Linked DNA regions of Xenopus tropicalis. The protein of the gene in region 3 interacts with the protein of the main gene of each other region in a pairwise test. Links are inferred from orthologs where the notes say so. Each region holds a gene or a part of one and is shown on either strand. Other genes may lie near its edges.

Evidence for each region. The genes of interacting proteins can lie anywhere in the genome.
Region 1: the proteins of sf1 (region 3) and sf3a1 interact in binary tests that used the Homo sapiens proteins (3 or more experiments, as listed by UniProt). The link is inferred for Xenopus tropicalis from reciprocal best matches to the Homo sapiens genes SF1 and SF3A1.
Region 2: the proteins of sf1 (region 3) and ddx17 interact in binary tests that used the Homo sapiens proteins (3 or more experiments, as listed by UniProt). The link is inferred for Xenopus tropicalis from reciprocal best matches to the Homo sapiens genes SF1 and DDX17.
Region 4: the proteins of sf1 (region 3) and kpna1 interact in binary tests that used the Homo sapiens proteins (3 or more experiments, as listed by UniProt). The link is inferred for Xenopus tropicalis from reciprocal best matches to the Homo sapiens genes SF1 and KPNA1.

What each region holds. Positions count from the first base shown.
Region 1 is NC_030677.2:144,341,460-144,346,909, reverse strand, and holds part of sf3a1 (splicing factor 3A subunit 1), read right to left. Parts: intron 5,355-5,450; coding exon 5,097-5,354; intron 4,139-5,096; coding exon 4,064-4,138; intron 1,601-4,063; coding exon 1,450-1,600; intron 947-1,449; coding exon 750-946; intron 247-749; coding exon 129-246; intron 54-128; coding exon 1-53. UniProt on the Homo sapiens protein: Component of the 17S U2 SnRNP complex of the spliceosome, a large ribonucleoprotein complex that removes introns from transcribed pre-mRNAs.
Region 2 is NC_030680.2:120,521,148-120,526,816, reverse strand, and holds the end of ddx17 (probable ATP-dependent RNA helicase DDX17), read right to left. Parts: intron 3,603-5,669; coding exon 3,369-3,602; intron 2,466-3,368; coding exon 2,050-2,465; 3' UTR 1,642-2,049; downstream 1-1,641. UniProt on the Homo sapiens protein: As an RNA helicase, unwinds RNA and alters RNA structures through ATP binding and hydrolysis.
Region 3 is NC_030680.2:40,393,444-40,399,418, forward strand, and holds the start of sf1 (splicing factor 1), read left to right. Parts: upstream 1-1,781; 5' UTR 1,782-1,828; coding exon 1,829-1,832; intron 1,833-5,975. UniProt on the Homo sapiens protein: Necessary for the ATP-dependent first step of spliceosome assembly. Binds to the intron branch point sequence (BPS) 5'-UACUAAC-3' of the pre-mRNA. May act as transcription repressor.
Region 4 is NC_030678.2:3,393,982-3,399,431, reverse strand, and holds part of kpna1 (importin subunit alpha-5), read right to left. Parts: intron 4,793-5,450; coding exon 4,693-4,792; intron 4,450-4,692; coding exon 4,355-4,449; intron 2,714-4,354; coding exon 2,582-2,713; intron 1,234-2,581; coding exon 1,145-1,233; intron 891-1,144; coding exon 791-890; intron 74-790; coding exon 1-73. UniProt on the Homo sapiens protein: Functions in nuclear protein import as an adapter protein for nuclear receptor KPNB1. Binds specifically and directly to substrates containing either a simple or bipartite NLS motif.

The sequences.
Region 1 (5,450 bases), on a different chromosome or scaffold from region 3:
AGGGGACACCAAATACTCATCAGGAGCAGGAGCAGGGGGCAAAGGCTTTGAAGCTGTGGGGATAAACAATTAGTAGTGTAAAATTACTGAGCTCAATTAATTTAAAAAGCAGACATCAGCAAACTCACCCTTGGGGTCATAATCCTTCCTGACAATAACCTGGTCTGGTGTAGGAGGCAGTGGTGGAGGCATAGGAGACTCTGGAGGAAGAGGAGCCTTTGATGTATATTCTTCATCATCAGAACCCTGTGAAGAGATAAACAGTCATGGATAATGGTTTTGAATATCGAAGAATAAAAGTTACAGACAATTTATTAGGATGTGCCGAATCCAGGATTCGGCCAAGATTATGTCAGGCTGAATGATGCGGCTGAATCCAAGTGTCTGGCAAAACCAAGTCTGAATCCTTAAAATCACATGACTTTTGGTCACGTCAACACGTGAAATGCACACTTTTATTTAGCCATTCCACTGCCTAATTTGCATATTCAAGGGATTAGGATTTGGTTTGGTATTCGGCCGAACTCAAATAGTGGATTCGGTGCATTCCTACAATTTATTGACTGGTTTGTATTTGCTTACGATTACTTAAGGATAATTTATTAGGTCATTAAGCTATAATGTTTCATTAGAATAAGTTGCCCAATTAATCCACGAGTATCAAAGCATAGGATTAATCTATCCTGTAAATGATGACAGCAGAAATGCAAAGTACATTGCATGCAAGAATTAACCATAAAATGTCTCACCTCATCCATATCTTGAACTTGAGTATCTTGGTCCATCTGAGAGGAGGAATCCTCTGCTTTGTTGTTCTTCACTTCATCCTCATCATCAGATTCCACTTCCATCTCTACCTCCTCACTCTCACCAAACTTCTCATAGCGCTCCTGGATAAGTATTCGAGCCCCTAGCTCTTCTGGAGTGGTTGGAGGTGGGAAGTTACCTGTAAAAGGCAAATATTTTCATAAAACTTATTATACGGTAGAAGGGTTCAGACTCACTTGCACAAAGACTATAAAATATGGTAAGACTCCTTGTCCTACTGATTCATACTGTATTCAACTATATCTACTTATCTGTGGTATTATCCAATTTTAAAAACCCAGACACAAAGTAACTAGCACAGTAATTTACCCAAGGTGTTTTTGCAGGGCACATCTCCCAGCACTTTTTGGGAACCACCAAACTCCCCTCTCCTGCATGCAATTCTCTTGCTGTGATACAAAACGGTTTGCAAAAGTCGGCAGAGGCAGTGTATTTACAGCAGCACACAGTCCAATTAGCTTCTATAAAACCTGTTCTATTACAGCAACAGGGTGGGGGAAAAGAACAAGTTTTTTCCCCACCCACCCATTTTTTCCTAGGGATGAATGCTGTAGTTGTACTTTCTACAGCTAATTAGGAAAGGGAAAATATATCTCTATTCAAATGCACTTGTTGCATTACCTTGCTCATTTGGTTGGAAGTCCACAGTTTCCACTACCACAAAATCATGCCAGTCTATTTGTGCATAGGCAACACGTTCTCTCTCTTTCTCTTCTTCCTCTTTTTTCTTCTCTCTTTCCTGAAACTTTGCCCACTCCACACGATAACGCACCTACTTATAGAGTACACAAAACATTTGTGAGAAGAAAAGGCAGAAGGTAGAGGCACATAGACAATTATTGCAAAATGTTGATAGCTGCATTGTTTTATACTAACAAAAGGCTAAACTAGGTAAACTTATTCGAATTATTTACTAATACATCACATAGGCATTTGTAGTTAGGGCTCTGCAGTCAACTTCTTCCACATCCATTTAAAGGAGATGGCAAGGAAAATTTTATAAATGGTACCAATGCATAGTCCCAGTATAGATAAAGAAAAACACTACACTTTGGGCTCAATTATAGTAAGAGAAACTTATAAAATCTTACCCGAAAGTTTCAGTGTTATCTAAGGTTTGGCGCGGCCATCTTTGAATTTGTATGCCCACTTCCTCTCCTTTGGCGTATTTACTGCGCATGCGCGAGCTTCCTCCCTCCCCCCAGCCTAGGTGCTCCTTGAATGAATGAACGCCGCCGGAGGCTTCTGCTTACGGCGCGTCGCCATAGCAACGAGACGCTTGCTAGTGCACGCTTCTAGGGGCCGGCTCAAGAGATCTGATTGCAGGGAGTGCGCCTGCTTGTGCGCCCCCAGAGAAGAGACAACTGCGCATGTGCCGTTTCGGTTGCAAGTCCTGAAGTCTGGCAATCAGCGAGGGATTATGGGAACTTTCTGCACACAGCTCCTAGCTTTTATATCCGTTTTGGCTTATCTTCTTGTAATCCATGGAGATATGGGGAGACTTAAGGGCACCTTTCAGACTACGGATGGTAAGCCTCCAGCCTGAGATTAACTCTTGTGTAGCCTTTCCTTCTCCTTTAATCAACTGATTCTGCACAGACTTTGCTTTGAGCATGCAGAAACAGGAAAGGGCCCTCCCCAAAGTGTTGCCAAAAGGTAGGAAGCATAGCGTCAAAAATTGCACTGTATGTAGAAGAATTCTAGTTTGTTTTTACTAGAATCTGGGTTCCTACTCCAAACTACTTTTTTTTGTTGTTATTTTACTCCACCAAACTAAACAAAAGCATTAAACATTTAGGCAGGTAGCATTTTCCTGGCTGCCAGACTGTGAACTAAGGTTCATTACACATTTAACACATTTACACTGCTCCAGAGCCCAATGGCAGCAACCTTAAAGGAACAGTAACATCAAAAAATTAAAGTGTTTTAAAGTAATTCAAATATAATGTGCTGCTGTTCTGCAAAAAACTGGTGTTTTTGCTACAGAAAAGCTACTATATAAATAAGCTGCTGTGTAGCCATGGGGGCAGCCATTCAAGCTGGAAAAAAGGAGAAAAGGCACAGGTTACATAGCAGATAACTAGTAGATAAGCCCCATATAATGGGGGTTTATCTGTTATCTGCTAAAAAACCTGTGCCTTTGCTCCTTTGAATGGCTGCCCCTGTGGCTACACAGCAGCTAACTTATATAAACTATAGTAGTCTTTCTGAGGCAAACACACCAGTTGTAGCAATGCAGGGCAACAGTACATTATATTGTAATTACTTTTATACACTTATTTTTTGGTGTTACTGTTCCTTTAACATCACTCTAGCCAATGTCTGGCATTGTGGAAGGTGTTAGGTTAATCTGCATTTACTTACAAAAAAAAAATAATCCTTGAACCAATGCTGCTTTTAGAGAACACTGGACAGTTAGGTTAATAACATAATTGGCAAAGTGATAGCTTTGCAAGGTTAGCTTTTACATACTCTAAATTGCATTTAAGACTTAAGGAGCAACTACATTGCTATAAATAAAAAAATAACTTGCTACTTACTGAATAAGCAGCCTTAAAGGACATGTAAACCTCACACACACAAATTTAATCAGTGAACATCCTCTTGGAAATCTTTCAATACCTGCTACTCTGGTTGTCCAGAGGTTAATAAGGTTAGTAAGGCTGCAACATCCCCTAAATAACTAAGATTTCCTTCTCCTCCTGTAAGCCACTCGGTCCCCTCCCTCAGGAATTTGCTTTGACTTTTCATTGACTTCTGGCTTGTGGGCATGTTTAGTTGTTCTAAACTCAGATTACTAAACACGCCCTCCAGTCTAGCAGCCAGTGAAGAGATGGCACTGCTGGTTTCCATAGAAACTCAGCTCTAGCTTTCTGCTTCAATTTTTTTCTCCTAACTTTCTCTCCTGAACTCAGTCCAAACAAAGTAGAACTTTTATCAGACAGTTCTGCCTATGTGAGGCTGCATTCTTGATGAAATGTAAGCTGAATAAGGGTCCCAGGGTGAAAGCTGCTATTTGCTTTACGAAAATGTGATGGTGCTGGCAAACGGATGGGATATATGCAGTACAAATAATGCCATTTGGGTGAAAGAGACGTGCCCAACTTAGGCTTTATGTGTCCTTTAAAACAGAAAGTATACTTGGAGCCAACATAAAGACTGTAGAGTAATCAACAAAAGTTCTAATTTACAGAAATGCAGGTAGAATATATTAGAAGGCAGAGGGTTGCATTACCTGATCCAATACTTCTGTTGGGTTTTCAGCTTCTTTCTTTAGCTTTACAAGTAATCCTTTTGGTGGTATCAGGATCTGAAAGAAAGAGATTACCAGAGGGATATCAGGGGCACAGTGCACGAGAGCCATCTCTACTTAGAGCCTATAAATGACAATATTGACAGTGCAGCTTAAAGGGGGTACTAAAACCTGCTGCACTGCACTGCTAAACCAAAGTTTACTTAGCTGTTTTTGGACTACAAATCCCAGAACAATAACATATAATGAAGTTTGTGGCATGCTAGGAGTTGTAGTCCAGCACAATCAGGGTTGCATTTTTAAAGCAATAGAACTTTTTCTAATCCTTTCTCCATATCTCCAGTGCCAGCAGCTGCATTAACATGCAAAAAATCTACCAATTAGAATCCCAGCTAATCTTTGTAAATCTGGCTCCCTGTTCTTTTCAAGATGCCTGGCATAGTGCTGGGAACCAGTGTTCTCGGTCTCTTTTCTTGCACTTATGAGGTTTTTTTAGTCAGTAAAATGCTCATTGGTGGATTTTCTTGCATCCAAAATTACGTTTTTTGACAATTTAGCAAAACTAGGGGGAGCAGGGGGACAGTATTATTATTGGGTTTACAACCCCTTTAAAAGATAGTTAATACTTGTTAACAGCTGCATTTTAGTTGCTCATAAAAATATTCAGCCACTCATTTTATACAATATGAAAAGTGATTATGACAAAGCATTGCATAAGCAGCATATTTAAATAACAATGGCCAGGCTGGAAGTAAACTACTTTGATATTTTAATCATTTCTCAAGATATATAACACATTCTAGCCGATGTAGCTTTTACTTAAAGGACACCTATGGGGCCAAATTGTTTACCCAACAGAAGGGTTTCAAAAAAAATGGTACTGCTTCCTCCAACCAGAATGTTGGCTCTATTGGCTTTCACCTCTGGTTGGGGGAAACAATTTTGCCCTAATAGGTGCCCTTTAAGAAAAGGATTTTTAGCCACTAACAGTTTTTAGGATTATGAAGATTATTACCTTGGTATACTGCTCCACAAGCTTGGTAAAGTAGTTAAAAAGACTGTGCTGGGGACGCAGGAAATCAAACTGGTAATTTCTCTGCTCTTTTTGCATCAACTGTGTGAGAAACTGGCGACCATTTCGAGCAACAAATTGTGCTGTAAGCTTTACCACGTCCAGGTCAAATGCAGAGATTGATGGAGGATCAGCAACATACTCAAACTCTGGAGGTGGTTCCTTTGGTACTATTGTCTCCTGGACAACCTGGGCCTGAACCTAGCAGAGACAGAAGAACATGAAAAATAAATATACAGGAATGATTTTATTTAACAAGGTCAGAGGACGGTGATCAGTTCCTGGTAAAGTGATAAC
Region 2 (5,669 bases), about 80 Mb from region 3:
TCTTCTGTGGTGATTTGCAAGGCAGCAACTTGGATGAACCACAATACTTTCATCAAGCATTAGCAAAATAAAATTCAACATGTTATTTTTCTCTTATCCACATTAACACCCACAGGCATATATTCCGGTGTCAGAGGCTGTGGTGTCATAGCTGAACCAATCTTCTACCACCTGCAAGCCAAGCTCGTTACCTTTTCCAGTCCCTGAACTTTCCCTTCACTACTCTTCTTGCAATAGAAACATACACCTTTACATCTTTGGATGCCTTATATGCCATAGTTAACTTTGCTCCTTCTATTTTTTTGTTAGACTTTCAACTAATTTTTTTCATTGCCTATTAATTTACAATTAATATAAGTTTCATCTCATGGGAGGATAACTTTCTAAATATGACCCTCTTTGAAGCCTCTCTCTCTAAATTCAGCTGTGTCAGAGCCTATTACTTTGAAACAGCGTGCTCTGTGCTTCCTTTGCTTAGACCAGTGCTGTTGAACTAGCAGCCCAAGGGTCTACCCTATGCGGCCTCTGCATTAAAGTCTGGCCCCTGTGACTGCTTGTCTTGTGCAAGCATTAAAAGGTATCAGTATTAGATTAACTAGTCCCTGCATTGTTCACATCTTAGATTCAGTCTGTAAGCCCCAGCAATACTCTGCTATACAGTCTTGTTGGAGATGTTGGAGCAGCCTGGTGGGGGGTTATTAACATATGGAAATAGTTGTCAGGGGGTCGCTAAGGTTTTTTGGTGTGCTACCAACATTAGTGTGGACATGGTCTTAAACATTCTTGTAATAACATTGGCGTGGTTTAAAGACTAGAAGTGATCAACAGTGGCTTCCAATATCAGCCCTCCGCCATGAAGGCCAGATAAATTCCAGCCCTTGGTACTACAGAATTTGGACAGCACTGTCCTAGTCAGTCTATTAAAGCTATGGTGTATTTGACCTGTCAATCAAAATCTGACTCCTGCATGAAGACAAGCCAGACCATGGTGGTAATGTCATGTTTTTAACCAAGACAGTTTGGCTGCTTCAGTCTTTCCATCCGTGACACTTTCAGAAATGGACACTGGTGAGAATAGAGTTGACAGATAGCCAGAACATTTGAATGTTATGCTTTAAATATTACAGCGAGATCAATAAAAGCACCACTCTAATAAAACAATGGTACACATGGTGACTTTTTTTTTAAAAAAAAATTTATTATCTACAAAATGGTGTCAGATGGTTCTCATGACAATTTAGAGAAATGAATTTTAAAAATGTAATAACCACTCCAGCAAACTAGAATGGTAACATTATTTAAAGGTATGGGGCATTATCTGTAACTGAAAAACAAAATTACACCTGAGAGAAATGCAACTATAACACAAAACACAGAAGCTGAAATAACAGTGAGATGAGAGGTACAGACAACCTGCCATGAAAAATAAATCTAACTAATGTGAACTTATTAATGCTTGTTAAAAGAACCTACCTTTGTCTTTGTCACACATGGCAACAAAAATGCCAAAATAGTGTCTATATAGTGGGAGGGTCAATGTATTTAGGAGAGGCATAACACTGTAGATGTCCCCCACCCCCAGAAGAAAGGAGGATTATACACCAATCAAGGGAATTATAAATACAGAGAAAAAAGTCTTGGTGACAGGGAAATAAGGGAGGAATGATGCTTGACAGTCTGGAATTTTACCTACCTGGAATAACTCAGGAGTAATAAAAAAAAGGAAAAAAGCAGCCACAGTAGCTTTCAAAACTTTCTGGCAAAAAAAAAAAAAAAAAACAAAACAGGTAAAAAAAAACAAAAAAAAAAAACCGAAAAGCCCTGCAAATACATCAAGTCATCTTAAGGCTACTGCCAGAACAAAGCACATAGAATCCTGAACACTAACTTTAAAGAACAGCTTCAAAGATTGGAAAAGTCTAATTCCCAAACATTGCTGTGATCAAGATAAAGGAAAAACAAAATGCAACAAAACATAAAGCTTACTGAGGGAAATTGTGTATTACATCAACTGGTAACACAGGCTAAAAGATAAAAAGGCTGAAGAACTCATTTACGTGTAGGTGGAGGTGGTGGTGGAGGAGGAGGGGGATACTGATAACTGGCTGCCTGGTTCATATAGTTCAATAGGCCAGAGGAGCTAGGTGGGGCAAACTGCTGTGACATCAGTGGCTGCGGTGCCTGGGCATATGCTGCTGTGCCATAATTGTTAGCTACTCCTGTGAAGCCACCCTGTCCGTAGCTGTATTGGTTGGGTTGGAAATTGGAAACCTGGCCACCGTAGCTGTAATTTGGCCGGTTCTGATCTCGCCCGGTTGGATTGTTAGAAATAGCACCATCGCGGTTATTGTTCCTCCCATCACGTCTTCCTCCATCTTTACCATGCATTCTTCTGTTACACTCTTCCTGGTACATCATATTTGGATTGTTATTTGTGGGAATGCTGCGATATCTGGATCGGCCACCTAGAGAGATTTAGAGCAGTTTTTAACATATGGTTTAAACACAGGAAAACAGTAAAGAAATACATTTGTTTACACATTACAGAAAGAAGAGACCTAAAGAGGAATAGTTTAAGAACTTTCTTCAGCTTCCAATGCACCTGCCAACATTGTTTATCAGCAAAAGTGGGATGCTACACAATCTGATCCCTCCTGCTGTAATGTAAGTCAAATCAGAAGTAAGATGGTGCGTTTTGTTAACGCATCTACATTGACGAAGAAAACCAACAAAGTCTTTTAGACACTATCAGATTTTACCTTGTCGGACACAACTTGCAGTGGAGTGCCCTGCCGGATGACAAATCTGCCATATACATTACACATCAGATTTTGTTATCAGTCCCATTATATTTTGACCTATGCAAGGATGTAATCAGCCAACCTGCCACCATTCTACATCTCCTGTGTAGCTTAGCTCTAAATCTTCAGGACAGATTTCATCTGCCATCCATCAGGATCACAGGATTGTCAAAAGCTCATCCCTCAACTGACATACACATCTAGATGGTCAGTCAGTAAAGTTGAAATAGGCCAAACTGCTTTAAGCAGGCCACACATGCCCAGAATTGTTGGGTAGTCTCCTTTGTATTGATATATTGCTTTATGCATGTCCCAGCACACACTTGTTATCTAAATATAATTTAAGATTTTAATTGTGAGCTGCGTTTGTCCTAAGGCAGAGGTGAAAGCTGTATACTGCTCTTTATACCAGCCACCCCTCCCTTACACTCTGCTACTCAGGGTGGAAGAGTACATTTAAATTAATAAGTAGTTAAGATTTTTAACACTTGTTACTTAAAGACAACTTCAAATCCAACCATCACATTTAGTTATATACTGTACACAAACCTCAGGGCAATGACCTACCTCCACCACCGCCACGGCCATGGTCCACCAGCTGCATTAGTTTAGGGTTGATTGTTTGATTTGCTTCTTCTAGAACTTTTACCAGTTCTCTGGCTTGTTTGAGGTTACCAGGTGTGAAGAAGGTGTAAGCTGTGCCTTTGTTAGTACTACGGGCAGTACGGCCAATGCGATGTACGTAGTCTTCAGAGCTGTTTGGGTAGTCATAATTAATGACGAACTTGATATCCTCCACATCTAAAAATTGAGTGGGAAATTGACGTGTAGGAAATACACACGCCAGAAGAGTGACAAAGATTAAAGTTAGTAAATGTAGAAAAATCTTGCCTCAAACTATTTCTGATTTCTACTACACTTCAGTGACTAAAGCTTAGAGTGTCTAGGCAAACTGTGATTCCCTGTAATTTCTGTTCCAAAAGCTAAAGCTGCCTTTATCTTGGTTCTTATCTGAAGTCTTAAATTAGAAATCAGAATATTGACCATTTCAGATGGATTAGGGCTTCATATGCAAAGATGCATAATACTATTTACCAGTCACAATTATGTTAGAAAACATTGAAGATAAATTCACTGACAATATAGTTCAGAGAGCTATTCCATAAACTGTAACTAATATAATGCCCAAACTGAACACATCAGATATGAGATGACTGACACTGAACCAGTTAAAATCCTAAAGCTAAAAGAGAAAACCATTAAAGCACTAAAAACCATAAATAATTTAAATTAAACTTAGTGGGATTCTTCCTCAGAAGAGCTGGTGTCCGGACCGATGCACACTCCCTCAGTGAGGTAGGGAAACAGCAGTCGCCAATCCCGTCTTTTTGGCTCATGGCGGTGTCGCCGCCCTTCATCCTTGGATAAGGGGCCACTGGAGCAGGGAGCATGCATCAACGGTCCAGGCGCAGCAAGAGGTCCCAACAGGTGCACTGGTTGAGCGAGATACTTCTGTGGGGGAGCCCTTCTCCCAAGTCCAAGTTTGTGAACCTGTCAATGGGCGAAGAGAGACCCCATCCTCCAACACTCACCATCTGCCATCAATAAAGTTATTAAAATCTTTGAAAGGTGGATGTGGACAAAGCTGCTAATTATCAGATTTTACCAAAAGGGAAGTTTGGATAAATGTCTGTTTCTTATTACAGAAAGGTCACTCACAAGAACTGCAGGTTTGGCTAATTTACAGCATAATATTAATTTAAAAAAAGGAAAAAATGGGAGAACAAAGTTCCACTATTTAGGAGGGAAGAATAACTTTGAAACCAATAGGATGAACAAATTAAATTTTTGCTCTGTCCATTAGTTTAGTGTGTTAAAAGGAAATGACAGGTTTCTAGGGCGCTCACTTTCTTATGTTCTCCATGACAGAATGGGAAGTCACGCACACTGCCACATCCTGCATGTGCAGGCAGGGAGAAAGGAGGAACTAAACAGTTTAGGAAGTAGCCACAAAAGGTCTGAAGAAGGGCAGAAGGGCTATTCTTCTGCTTTGACAGCCAAAAGACTTCCCAACAGTTGCCCAGCAGATGGCATAGTGGGAAGCATCTGTGTGATCTCCCTTCTAGAAAGGTGGTCCTTCTATTCAATAAGGCTGGGCAAGAACATGACACTGAATCAGCAGGCAAATGGGACGTAGAAGTAGCCCAATATCAGTACTCAGGGTGGAATGCCTGCATTGTGCACCACCATGTTGAGTGAGTAACTTAGGGGGCTCGGAGTTGCAGACCCAAAAATTGCCTCTTCAGTACAAGACCTTTGCGAGGGAGGAGTGTAAGAAGCCAGTGCCCTTTAGGGGGGCAGCTTCCAGCGTTCATCCCCCTGTATTTTCGACGGGCCCCTGGCCCTGTACTGAGAGAGATCTGCAGCTTCTGTCAAAAACAAAACAAAAAAAATAAGTTTTAATATCAAATTTTAAATTAAAAATATGAAATTAAATTGCCTACAGTGTAGAAGACTCATGCTCAACTGGAACTTACCTGGCTGCTACCTAACAGCTATAGAACAGGTAGCCATGCAATTTCTTAAGAGCAACAAATAGCCAAAAGACATTTTCAGAGCACTAAAAATAGTAACTACATCCAGAAGATACTGTGCCTAGAAAAGACCATTCCCTACAAGTGAACCACCTTTCCATTGGGGAGAAGGAGACCAGTAAATTTGTGGCAAGTTTTAATGGCAAACTAAAGCCAAACAGTTCCACATCCTCCCACCACAAAAAAACACAGATGGAGGAACTGAGTAACAAGAAACAGACTGTGGTACTCTTCCTGCCTTGAGAAATGCATGGTTTGCATCAGTGGATTGGGG
Region 3 (5,975 bases):
CTAAAATGTTCACAAAATTGTTGTAGCACTGCAGGATCCTGATAACTGCTAAAATCTCCCTTAGGGGCTGATTTACTTACCCACGAACGGGTCGAAATGAGTCCGATTGCGTTTTTTTCGTAATGATCGGTATTTTGCGATTTTTTCGTATTTTGTGCGATTTTTTCGGCTTCTTTCCGAATTTTTCGTTACCAATACGATTTTTGCGTAAAAACGCGAGTTTTTCGTAGCCATTACGAAAGTTGCGTAAAATCTGGCGATTTTTCGTAGCGTTAAAACTTGCGCAAAAAGTTGCGCTTTTTTCGTAGCGTTAAAACTTACGCGAAACTTTGCACCTTTTAAGTTTTAACGCTACGAAAAAGGCGCAACTTTTCGCGTAAGTTTTAACGCTACGAAAAAAGCGCAACTTTTTACGCAACTTTCGTAATGGCTACGAAAAACTCGCGTTTTTAACGCAAAAATCGTATTGGTAACGAAAAATTCGTAAAGAAGCCGAAAAAATCGCAACAAATACGAAAAAATCGCAAAATGTTCGTTTTCAAGTCGGAACTTTTCCAATTCGGGTCGGATTCGTGGGTTAGTAAATCAGCCCCTTAGTGTCTTAAGCCTCACACATTTTTGCAGGACGATCGGTCGCACGAAACATCGTCAGATCCGCCACACACCATTCAGGGCTGAATCGGCAGGTAAGGAGGTAGAAACAATAGGATTTCTACCTCCTTCTGCCGATTCAGCGCTGAAGGGAGATTTTGGTCAGGCGCCTTCTATGGCGCCCGATCAAAATTTTCAGACTGGTCCGATCGGCGAGTCGGCCAATATCAGCAGCTTCCTGCGATATCGGTCTACTCGCCAACATACCATACACGCACCGAATATCGTACGAAACGAGGTTTCGTACGATATTATCGGTGCGTGTATGGCCACCTTTAGAACAAAGGATGCAATGCATAACAGGGGCAGCCATATACTGCATGCTTCTAATTTATGTACAAATATCTAAATGTGAGTTTTTTTAATTGGGGTATAGGAAAGGTATTTTATTTTCTTCATGCAAAATAAAATAGTAATGTACTTTTTTTTTTTTTAAGAATGATTTTAAAAACTTTCTATACAACTATTTATTATTAGGAACTACTACAGAAAAAAACAGGATTTTTCCTTTATTAACAAATTAGAACAGCCCTGTTCAGAGTCGGTTGTTTGTCCGGGCATTGGCGACTACAACTCTACACCACGTTTGTCTGCCATAACATAGTGGAAGAGTGTGACAAGTCACAGCTTTTTAATGTTAAAATGTCCACTTGTTCAGTCACAATGACTATCCTCCATTTTGTTGCTTGTTCTTCAGCGACAAGCAAGATGGCGGGACAAACGTGCTAACAACGTCAGACACTACTACATCCTATAAATCCGGAAGAAAGAGTTGAGCAAATCACTAACAAATTTTCGCGCGTTTATGCTTATTAGAGTACAGTCTTTAGGCAAAAGAAAACGAGGGAGGGGATGGTTTTATGCATTTTACGTAACCAATCATCTTAACGTTCTCTAGTTCTGCCTACAATACGTACGTGCGACGTAGCGCTTTATCCTATAGCAACTACCAATTCCAGCCAATCATCGCTTACGTTTTTTCCTCCTTCGACACCAACCTGGTTTCGGACCAATCGGTAGCGTCTATTTATTCATCTACCAATTATCTTCGTTTTCTATTCCTAGAGGGTGGACTCCGAAGGTGATAAAAGGTAAAGGCTGCACAGTTCCGTTCAGTCATCTTGGAGCAAGGAAAGAGGAGGAGTTTGGAAGTATTGTGACAAAGATAGACCGCGTGATGGGTAAGTAGTGTACCAGGCGTTTACTAGGCCTCTCATGTAGTTATTGCTGTTTAGAGAGCTTTTCTTCTTTTAGTCGCTGGTATTGGTGTCAGTCGCTGCTTCCAGCCTTATTTAGTTCTATATTTTGAATGTATAAACGCATATTGTATCTCAAGTCCCGTGGCTAGTTATATCTCAGCGCCGATGTATAAACGCACGTGGTTAGAGTTAAGCAAAACACTTTCCAGATTATGTATTAAGGAATATTTGGCTATTAAATCCGTTGAGTTTGTGCGTAATATCCAGTTTTACTCTACATACCAGCGAATTGTAGGCCTTTCTGCGGTGTCTCTGCTGAGTTACAATACTTGCTTGACTTGTGCGTTTTTATGCCAGTACTGCTGCAAAATCGCATGATATAATGAGGGTGAATTCGTGTTGGTGTTGCAAGTGTATTCCTTTTATTTGCGTCGCTAGCGATAAAGTTTGTGTTTTTATACGTATATACCGCACTGGTGCGAACCTATACAGGTGGGGCGCTGCAAGGTTTCGAGTGTATTAAAAAAGTGGTTAACTCCACAATACAATTTCCTACATACATTCATTAACTCTAGTTAAAGTCGCTTCCTTCCTATCGCTGCCGTCTCTGCTTTTATGAAACAATGTTGCAGCAGCAGCAGCTAACTGATCTGGGAGAAGCATGAAAGGCTGACTTTTGCTACATGGGTTCAAAAGACTGAACCAGCATTTTCGTCTACTGGTTGCTTGCAACCTGGGCGTTTCCGGATAGGGGATCTTTCAGTAACTTGGACCACCTTTCCAAAAATCATCAAATAAACTCTGTAGGATTTGCTTGTCACCAATATAGATTTATGCATCTTGGTTATTAAAGGAGACTGAAAGCTGTGCCAAATGTTAGGCTCCCCTTAATGATTGTAATCGCTTACCTTTTACCCCGGGCTGGTACTACTGTTAGGCGAAATCCACACCTGCCCAAGGTAGGTGCAAGAGAGCAATCTTCTTTTGTCTTTGCACCGCTTGTGCAGTAGAGTGTAAAGACGAACTTTAACAAAAAAGTTGGCATCTTCACCCTACTGTGCATGCGTCGGCCCCGGGATTCAAAAGCATGAAGAGACGGAAGGCTGGTGTGGTTTTCTCCTAATAGGAACAAAAGCCTGGGGTAAAGGTAAGCAATTACTGGGTGGAGCCTAACATTTGGCACCCCCAGTGATTTTTGCCTTTCCTTCTTTTTTAAATACATGGTACTGTTCTGTTACCACAGAAAAGGAATGACAACCTTCCCGTGATTTGGAGCTTTTCTGGTTAAGGATCAGATCAAATATATATATTTTTTTTTAATATATACACCCCCACCCCCTCTTTTCAGTATGAGTTTAGTAGATAGTGCTTGTGCATAAGATACCATTGTTTTAATTAAGATTAATTTGTGGTTATTCCTTGACTCTAAAGCTGGCCATACACGCACCGATACTATATCGCAGGAAGCTGCTGATATCGGTCGACTCGCCGATCGGCCAGGTTAGAAAATTTTGAATGGGCGCCATAGAAGGCGCCTGACCAAAATCTGCCGTCAGGGCTGAATCGGTAGAAGGAGGTAGAAACAATAGGATTTCTACCTCCTTCTGCCGATTCAGCCCTGACGGCAGATTTTGGTCAGGCGCCTTTTATCAGCCCTGACTGTGTGTGGCGGATCTGACGATGTTTCGTGCGACTGATGGTCGTACGAAACATCGTCAGATTGCCACATGTGTGGCCACCTTAAGGGTAATGGCACAGGGGATGTTTTGTTGCCTGCAGTAAATCTTCCCTACCACATGCAGCAAAACATCATTGTTTCCTTCCCACTGGCTAATATGCAAATCGCTGGTGGTGAAACATATGTGGTGTGAAGCACACTGGCGATGTGCATTATAGCCAGTTGGAAGGAAGCAAAGATGTTTTGTTGCCCTTAGTAGTGAAGATTTATTGCAGGCAGCAATGTCCTGTGAGCCATCACCTCAATGGTGTGAACAGACATGAAAACTTGTTTCAAGTTTTAGTGGCAATTGATCTGTTGGGTGAGTGAAAATCGCCCAAACCAAACTTACTATGGAGACCAGGCAACTGCCATCAAAATGAATGTTGTGCAATTCAGAATGGGTTAACTGAAGGGTAAAAACCCACGGGTGCTGTTCAGTTGCCCATGATAGATCTGTTATAGTGGGCGACTACCGCTCTGAAATGACTTTCCACGGCAACTTCTCGTCAATTTGTTTTTCGCAGTCGCACAAAGTTGTCTGCAGGAGGGGAAACTTTGCGCGACTTCAGACCAAAGTCACCCGCAATATCAGAGGTCTATCATGGCCGACTGAACCACTAGATGGGTTCTTATCCTTTACTGGTAGATTTTTGTGATAAATACTGTCCAACATATTCCACCTTTTTTGTAAATTGACATCTATACAGAAAAGTCAAACGGATCAGAAATAATTTTATTGAAAGAAGAAAAACAAAACTCGTACAAAAACCGTTGCATTGCTGTGCACACCCTTTAATAATCAAGAATGTGGCTGCATTCAGAATCAACCAATCTCAAATAGTCTCATCTCAAATAGTAGTTAGTATACACCTGACCTCTGATTGAGCTCAGATAAAGTTTGACTGTTCCTGTAAGATTATTCCTCTTGAGGTGGCCATACAGGTAACCATTACTATCTTTCCTGTGACCATTTGTCCTCAAATATGGAGGTAGAAACAATAGGAATTCTACCCCTATCTGATGATTCAGCCCATAACACAGCTTTTGCTCTGGCACCTTCAGTGTTGCCCAATCAAAATCTTTTGTCCGGCCCAGTCAACAGCTTTTGAGATATTGGTTGTCTCGTCTATCCACTATACATCGAATATTGTACAAAGTTAGGGTTCATATGATATCAGTACAAAATTAGGGTTCATATGATATCAGTGCACGTATGGCCAGCTTTGTTCTCACACTCCAAAAAGTATTCAAATCATTTAACATTCTATGGAACACGGTGAAGACAGTCATTAACTAGTGGAGACAGTATGGCTCTAGAGTGTCTAACAACATCAGGATGGAAAGCCATTTCAGAGTGGTTAGTCACCCACAATATCAGAGGTCTATCATGGCCGACTGAACCACTCCATGGGTTCTTACCCTTTACTACCCCTATCTGATGATTCAGCCCTTAACACAGCTTTTGCTCTGGCGCCTTCAATATCGCCCGATCAAAATCTTTTGTCCGGCTCAATCAACAGGACAACAGATATCCAAGGCTTTTGTGATATTGGTAGTCTCGTCTATCCAACATACATCAAATATTTTACAAAATTAGGGTTTGTATGATATCAGTACAAAATTAGGGTTCATATGATATCAGTGCACGTATGGCCAGCTTTGTTCTCACACTCCAAAAAGTATTCAAATCATTTAACATTCTATGGAACACGGTGAAGACAGTCATTAATAGGTGGAGACGTTATGGCTCAAGAGTGTCTACCAACATCAGGATGTCCCGTCAAGACAAGGAGAAAACTGGCCAGGGAGGCCACCAAGGGGACTATATAAACATTTAGGGCTCTGGCACACGGGAAGATTAGTCGCCCGCGACAAATCTCCCTGTTCGCGGACGACTAATCTCCCCAAGTTGCCATCCCACCGGCGAAAATGTAAGTCGCCGGTGGGATGGCACACGCGGCGGCGCGATTTCGGCAAATCGCCAAAAAATGCCTCGCGAGGCAACTTCGCCGATTTGCCAAAATCGCCTGCGCAGCGTGTGCCATCCCACTGACGACTTACATTTTCGCCAGTGGGATGGCAACTCGGGGAGATTAGTCGCCTGCGAACAGGGAGATTTGTCGCGGGCGACTAATCTCCCCATGTGCCAGAGCCCTAAAGGAGCTGCAGGATTTCTTGGCAAGTAGTGATTCTTACATACATGTGATAACAATCATTCATGTTCTTCATATTACTGGGGTAGGGTTGCAAGACAAAAGCCTTTACTCACAAGGAAAAACACCCAAGCCTGGCTAAACTTTGGGGGATAAAAAGTATACACAGTCTCCCACAACCATGTGGAAAAATGTATTATGGTCTGATGAGACCAAAGTTGAACTGTTCATAATTCAGAAAGTGGTGCAAAG
Region 4 (5,450 bases), on a different chromosome or scaffold from region 3:
AGCAGGCATCGGCAAGTACATCAGTGTCGTTGACAAAGAGAAGCCAGGACAGGACAGTGAGGCATGGGGAAACCTGGGGAGGAAGACAATATGGCATCTTCAGCAAATAACTCACCTAAAGTGTTATGATACCAGTGTGATAATGATGCAGAAGCAGCAGCCGCCAGTAATACCACTGGCCAATAAAGGACAAGAGATAAAAAGCAAGTGATGGTATTTTGTCCATTTGATAGACATATGCTGGCCCCCTGACTTCCATCAGCCCCTAAGGTGGAAGTGCAGGAGGGCCACCTATGGGTAAGTGGAAGGAGAGGAGCTCTACGTATTTTGGTTCTGCTTCCAGTGTCAATAAACACAAGATGCCAGTGCTAATGGGGCCCCTGGGAATAGGCATATGATATGCAAGGGAAGATTACTGACCAGTTAAAAGATGGGAAAAGAAAGTTGCTGATGCTGCCAAGCAAATGAAAGGCCTATATATTAGTTATGTGCAGGCCGGCCCGATACCCACGGGTTGGGTGGGTTCAAGCAGACCTTGGCACATCAACTGTGGGTGTATTCGGATTGAGCTCTTTCGCTCTCCAGGGCTTCTGGCCAATGAAATAACTGCATACATTGAAACTGCTGGTCAAAAAATAGACTGGATATAACAAGGTTACTAAAGAGAAGGCTGGTTACAAAAAGCATGAACTGATGCTGTGGGTACAATAACCATGTGTTTATCTGCCCAGTGCCAGCACGCTAAAGCCCATTTAGCAATAACACTGAAATCCAACTGCCTCACTGTTACCTTGGCGAATTCAGGGGGTGGATTCTTCCCTCTACAAAGGTTAGACAGTGCCCACACTGCATTTCGAGTCATTGTAAGACGGTTCTGCTTGGACAGTAATCTGAAAAATAATACAAGAATATAACGGAGTAAATATGGACTCCATGTTGACAGTAATAACCACATCCCAAGTCCATGAGCTCTAAACATTCAATATGTATTTCCCACCCAATGTAACCCTAACCTCTGCTCAGCACCCTGCCCCTATAGTCAATTCTAAACATCTTTTCTACTATATCTTCATACATAACAAGTACAGCTACTTAAAAACACAGGGAAAAAATCATAAAACACCCCAAAGTTCTAGGTACTAACTGTAAAAGCGGAGGCAGAATATTGCAGTCCAACACATAATCCCGACACACGGTGCTGTCTCCGGCAATGTTCCCTAGAGCCCAGACTGCCTGTTAGGGAAGAGAAGAAAATGACATTCGTGGTTTAAACCAAGGAATCAAGTCAGTATGTGATTAGCAATTTGTAGCATTGTTTGTTTCTTTTTTGTGGGGGTTAGTCAGTAATGTAAAAAGGTTGGTTTCAGGCACCCAGTGGTTGGAATGTGTTTGAAGTACATTGCACCAAGGTCCCCAGACTTTGTCAGATTTGTTAGTTGCCCTCTGATATCCTATCTGTAAGTTCTAATGGAGGGGAGGGATGTACCCATCCAATGCACGGCAATTGTTTTTTGTTTTTTTTTTGCATGAAGGGGGAGTACACAGTTGCGCAAACACACGTGGGCTCGCGGTATCCCAAGGAGACAAATATGGGTGCCAATATTCTAGGTAATTCTAGGTTTTAGGCCAGGAAGTCGAATATTTGGGTCCAAAAAGAGTGAATGTGGGGACATTTCGAAATCATGTGGAAAAATTAAGCCCCCGCATCTAGAGCAACTGTCGTCAGAAGAGCGCCCCATTTATATAAATCTGGCAGGGGTTATCTATAGGTTTGTATTGCACTAATTTGTCTCTAGCAGGGTCTTGCCAGTCTTTGCTTAGTCTTTGGGTCCGGGTAGTTGCAAGTAGGGATACACTGAATCCAGGATTCGGTTCGGTATTTGGCCAGGATTAGGGTTCAGCTAAATCCACGGTCCTGGCCAAACTGAATCTGAATTAGCATGAATGAGCATATGCTAATTAGGATTTGGAAGGGTTAAATGTTAGGGAAATTTTTTTTTTACCCCTTCCGGATCCTAACTAACATATGCTAATTAGAATTCCGATTTGGTTCGGTATTCGGCCGAATCCCTTCGGATGGATTCGAGGGTTCGGTTTATCCCTAGTTGCAAGTTCTGGTATATTCTAGATATCATTTTGTCAGGGGAGGGGGTACACGGGGCTTCCTCTGAGTGAAACTAGTTGGGGCGAGTGTGTGGAAAATTGTGAGTGGAATGCCTCGGAGGAATCTGTAAGAGGGAAGCATTGGAGGCTGACATATTTGTTGCAGTTATGGGTAACTCTGGAAGGTTACATCAAGTCTTACAAGTAATCAAGTGGCAAGGCCAGAATATAAAGTCTGGAATGGTGACGGTAGGAGTTCCCCATAGGTGGGGATAGTAGTGGAGGGGGTGACCTAGCAATTTTAAGGCGACTGACCAGGCTTTACGGGGGGTAGTAAGCGTGGGGGGCAGAGAGGCCGTCACGCAGGTGTCTGTATGGGAAGTCTGTATGTAGCTGTGTATTTAATCATATAGGGTGGGGGGCAAGCAGATGTAAGGTTCAAACTGGTTGTCTGGGGTGAATATAATCTCCCTATTACCTGCTCCTGAACGTCTTCGAACTCTGAGCTGAGCAGCTCTATAAAGATGGGCACCGCTCCTGCCTGGATGACAATGCGGGTCTGTACGGAGTTCCCGGAGGCAATGTTAGTGAGCACCCACGCTGCTTCAAACTGAACGGAAAGACAAGAGTTACTTCCAAAGACCACCTGCAGACATTATGATACAGTACTGCTAGCATATTAACCCATTAGCAGCCACATCAGGATGCATGGGAAGTCAAAGGAACACAATCATGCCTTATCTGCTGGATGTTTGAATTACTGTGAACCACCTATGGACGGGAGCTGCAATATTGGCTCCGTAGGCAGTACAGTATGAGTGCATTCCTTACCTGCATTTTGCTTTTAATTATATCTGTTTGGGTGATGCCATATTTTTAATCTGAGGCTGATGAGGAGTTGCTTTGTAAACATATAACACCCTGCTGCCTCCCATTAACTTTAATTAGAAAAGCCTGGCAGTGTTAGACGCACACCCATTTGTCTTCAGCCTTAAAGGAGAAGGAATGGTAAGAACTCAGTAAGCTTTAACAGTAAATAAGCACTCACAGAATCCTCCTATGTGGCCTCTATCAAAAGAAACGCAGTATTTATTTTCTTCTTTCGTGTATACATGTTCTTCTGTGTCAGACTTCAGGTCAGGGGCACGAGTCTGCTCAGTTTGCTGTGCTCCTCCTGCCATCTCTCCCCTTTCCCTTCTCCCCCTCCCATCTACCCTTTTTCCCTTTCCCTTCTCCCCCTCCCATCTACCCTTTTTCCCCTTCCCTTCTCCCATCTATCCTCTCTCCCCTTCCCTTCTCCCCCTCCCATCTACCCTTTTTCCCCTTCCCTTCTCCCATCTATCCTCTCTCCCCTTCCCTTCTCCCCCTCCCATCTCTCCTCTCTCCCCCTTCCCTTTTCCCCCTCCCATCTCTTCTCTCTCCCCCTCCCATCTATCCTTTCTCCCCTTCCCTTCTATCCTCTCTCCCCCTTCCCTGCTCCCCCTCCCATCTCTCCTCTATCCCCTATCCCTCTTCCCTGCTCCCCATCCCATCTCTCCTCTCTCCCACTTCCCTGCTCCCCCTCCCATCTCTCCCCTTCCCTGCTCCCCCTCCCATCTCTCCTCTCTCCCCTTCCCTTCTCCTCCTCCCAACTCTGTGTAATCTGAGCTACCAGCAGCCAGAGCTGCAGCACAGAAGCTACTGAGACCAAGCTAAAATGGCAGCTGCTATCTTAAACAAACAGACAGAGCTTCTAGGGCCATTTACTCAGGCAGGTAAAGCTTTCTGCAGAATAAATATAGCATTCTAGCTTGTACTATTGTGACTAATCTATTGGCAAAATATGCCAAAATGCCTTTCCTTCTCCTTTAAAGTGTGGAGGGAAAAATAGTTACTGTTCCCCTTTTGCCGCTAAATCTTGAGCTTGACAACTGTGACAAGTCACAGGGATTTCAGCAGGGATGTTATTTCTGCAATGCTTGCCTGTGCCACATGAATTCACCTTGGCCGGATGTCTTATCTTTTTTGGCCGCTATGGTTCCTTAAGCAAGCCGTCTGATTAACTGAATAACCTTCTGTGCGTCACGGTGCCCCTGAGCTCATACAGAGTCAAAGCTGTGGTGTTAAATGTGGCCCATTATAGCACACTCCAAGGGACACGGATGGCGCACAAGAGGCTGCCCAGGATAAAAGGGTAAATGCAGCTAGGAGTGATTGTGTTTCCCACTGACGGCTACGTGTGTGCTCCTCATCTCTCATTCAGGCACATTACCTGTAATGTACAGTTCTCTTTCCGCTTCAGGAATTCCACGAATCTAGCGACCACCCCCGGAGTCCCTATAACCTCATCAATGGGAGGGTTGGGCTCTGTTAAGAGACAGACTCACACTGTTATTACACCAATCACATGTTTATTGAGCACATTACAGCTGCTACAGACTCGCACTGCCCATGCTCAACCCCAAGGTTAATACAGATGTATTTACAGGTATTTATGAACCAGCAAATTCAGCTAACATGAAAATAAATGCGAATCAGTGGTACCTCAAAGGGCAATAATATGTCAAGAAGATACTGAACAGGGCAGGTGGGCAAATGCACAGAACATACCTTTTGATAGCAGTTTTCTGAACTTCTGCGTCGCTGCAAGCTGCTGCTCTGGGTTGTTGGAGAAAATCATCTCTATCATGTCTCCCGTAATAACCCCACTCTGTCAGAAAGAATATTTAGAAGAGTTTAGCAGCTTGGTTATACACTAAACTGTTCCTGCTGAATTGTGCTTAGTACAGGGGAATCCCTATGTGCCATAGTTTTATGGTATCTCTCTGTACAGGCTATGGGCAAACTTAGGGGGCTGTTCCTGCTGAATTGTGCTTAGTACAGGGGAATCCCTATGTGCCATCGTTTTATGGTATCTCTCTGTACAGGCTATGAGCAAACTTAGGGGGCTGTTCCTGCTGAATTGTGCTTAGTACAGGGGAATCCCTATGTGCCATAGTTTTATGGTATCTCTCTGTACAGGCTATGGGCAAACTTAGGGGGCTGTTCCTGCTGAATTGTGCTTAGTACAGGGGAATCCCTATGTGCCATAGTTTTATGGTATCTCTCTGTACAGGCTATGAGCAAACTTAGGGGGCTGTTCCTGCTGAATTGTGCTTAGTACAGGGGAATCCCTATGTGCCATAGTTTTATGGTATCTCTCTGTACAGGCTATGGGCAAACTTAGGGGGCTGTTCCTGCTGAATTGTGCTTAGTACAGGGGAATCCCTATGTGCCATAGTTTTATGGTATCTCTCTCTACAGGCTATGAGCAAACTTAGGGGGCTGTTCCTGCTGAATTGTGCTTTGTACAGGGGAATCCCTATGTG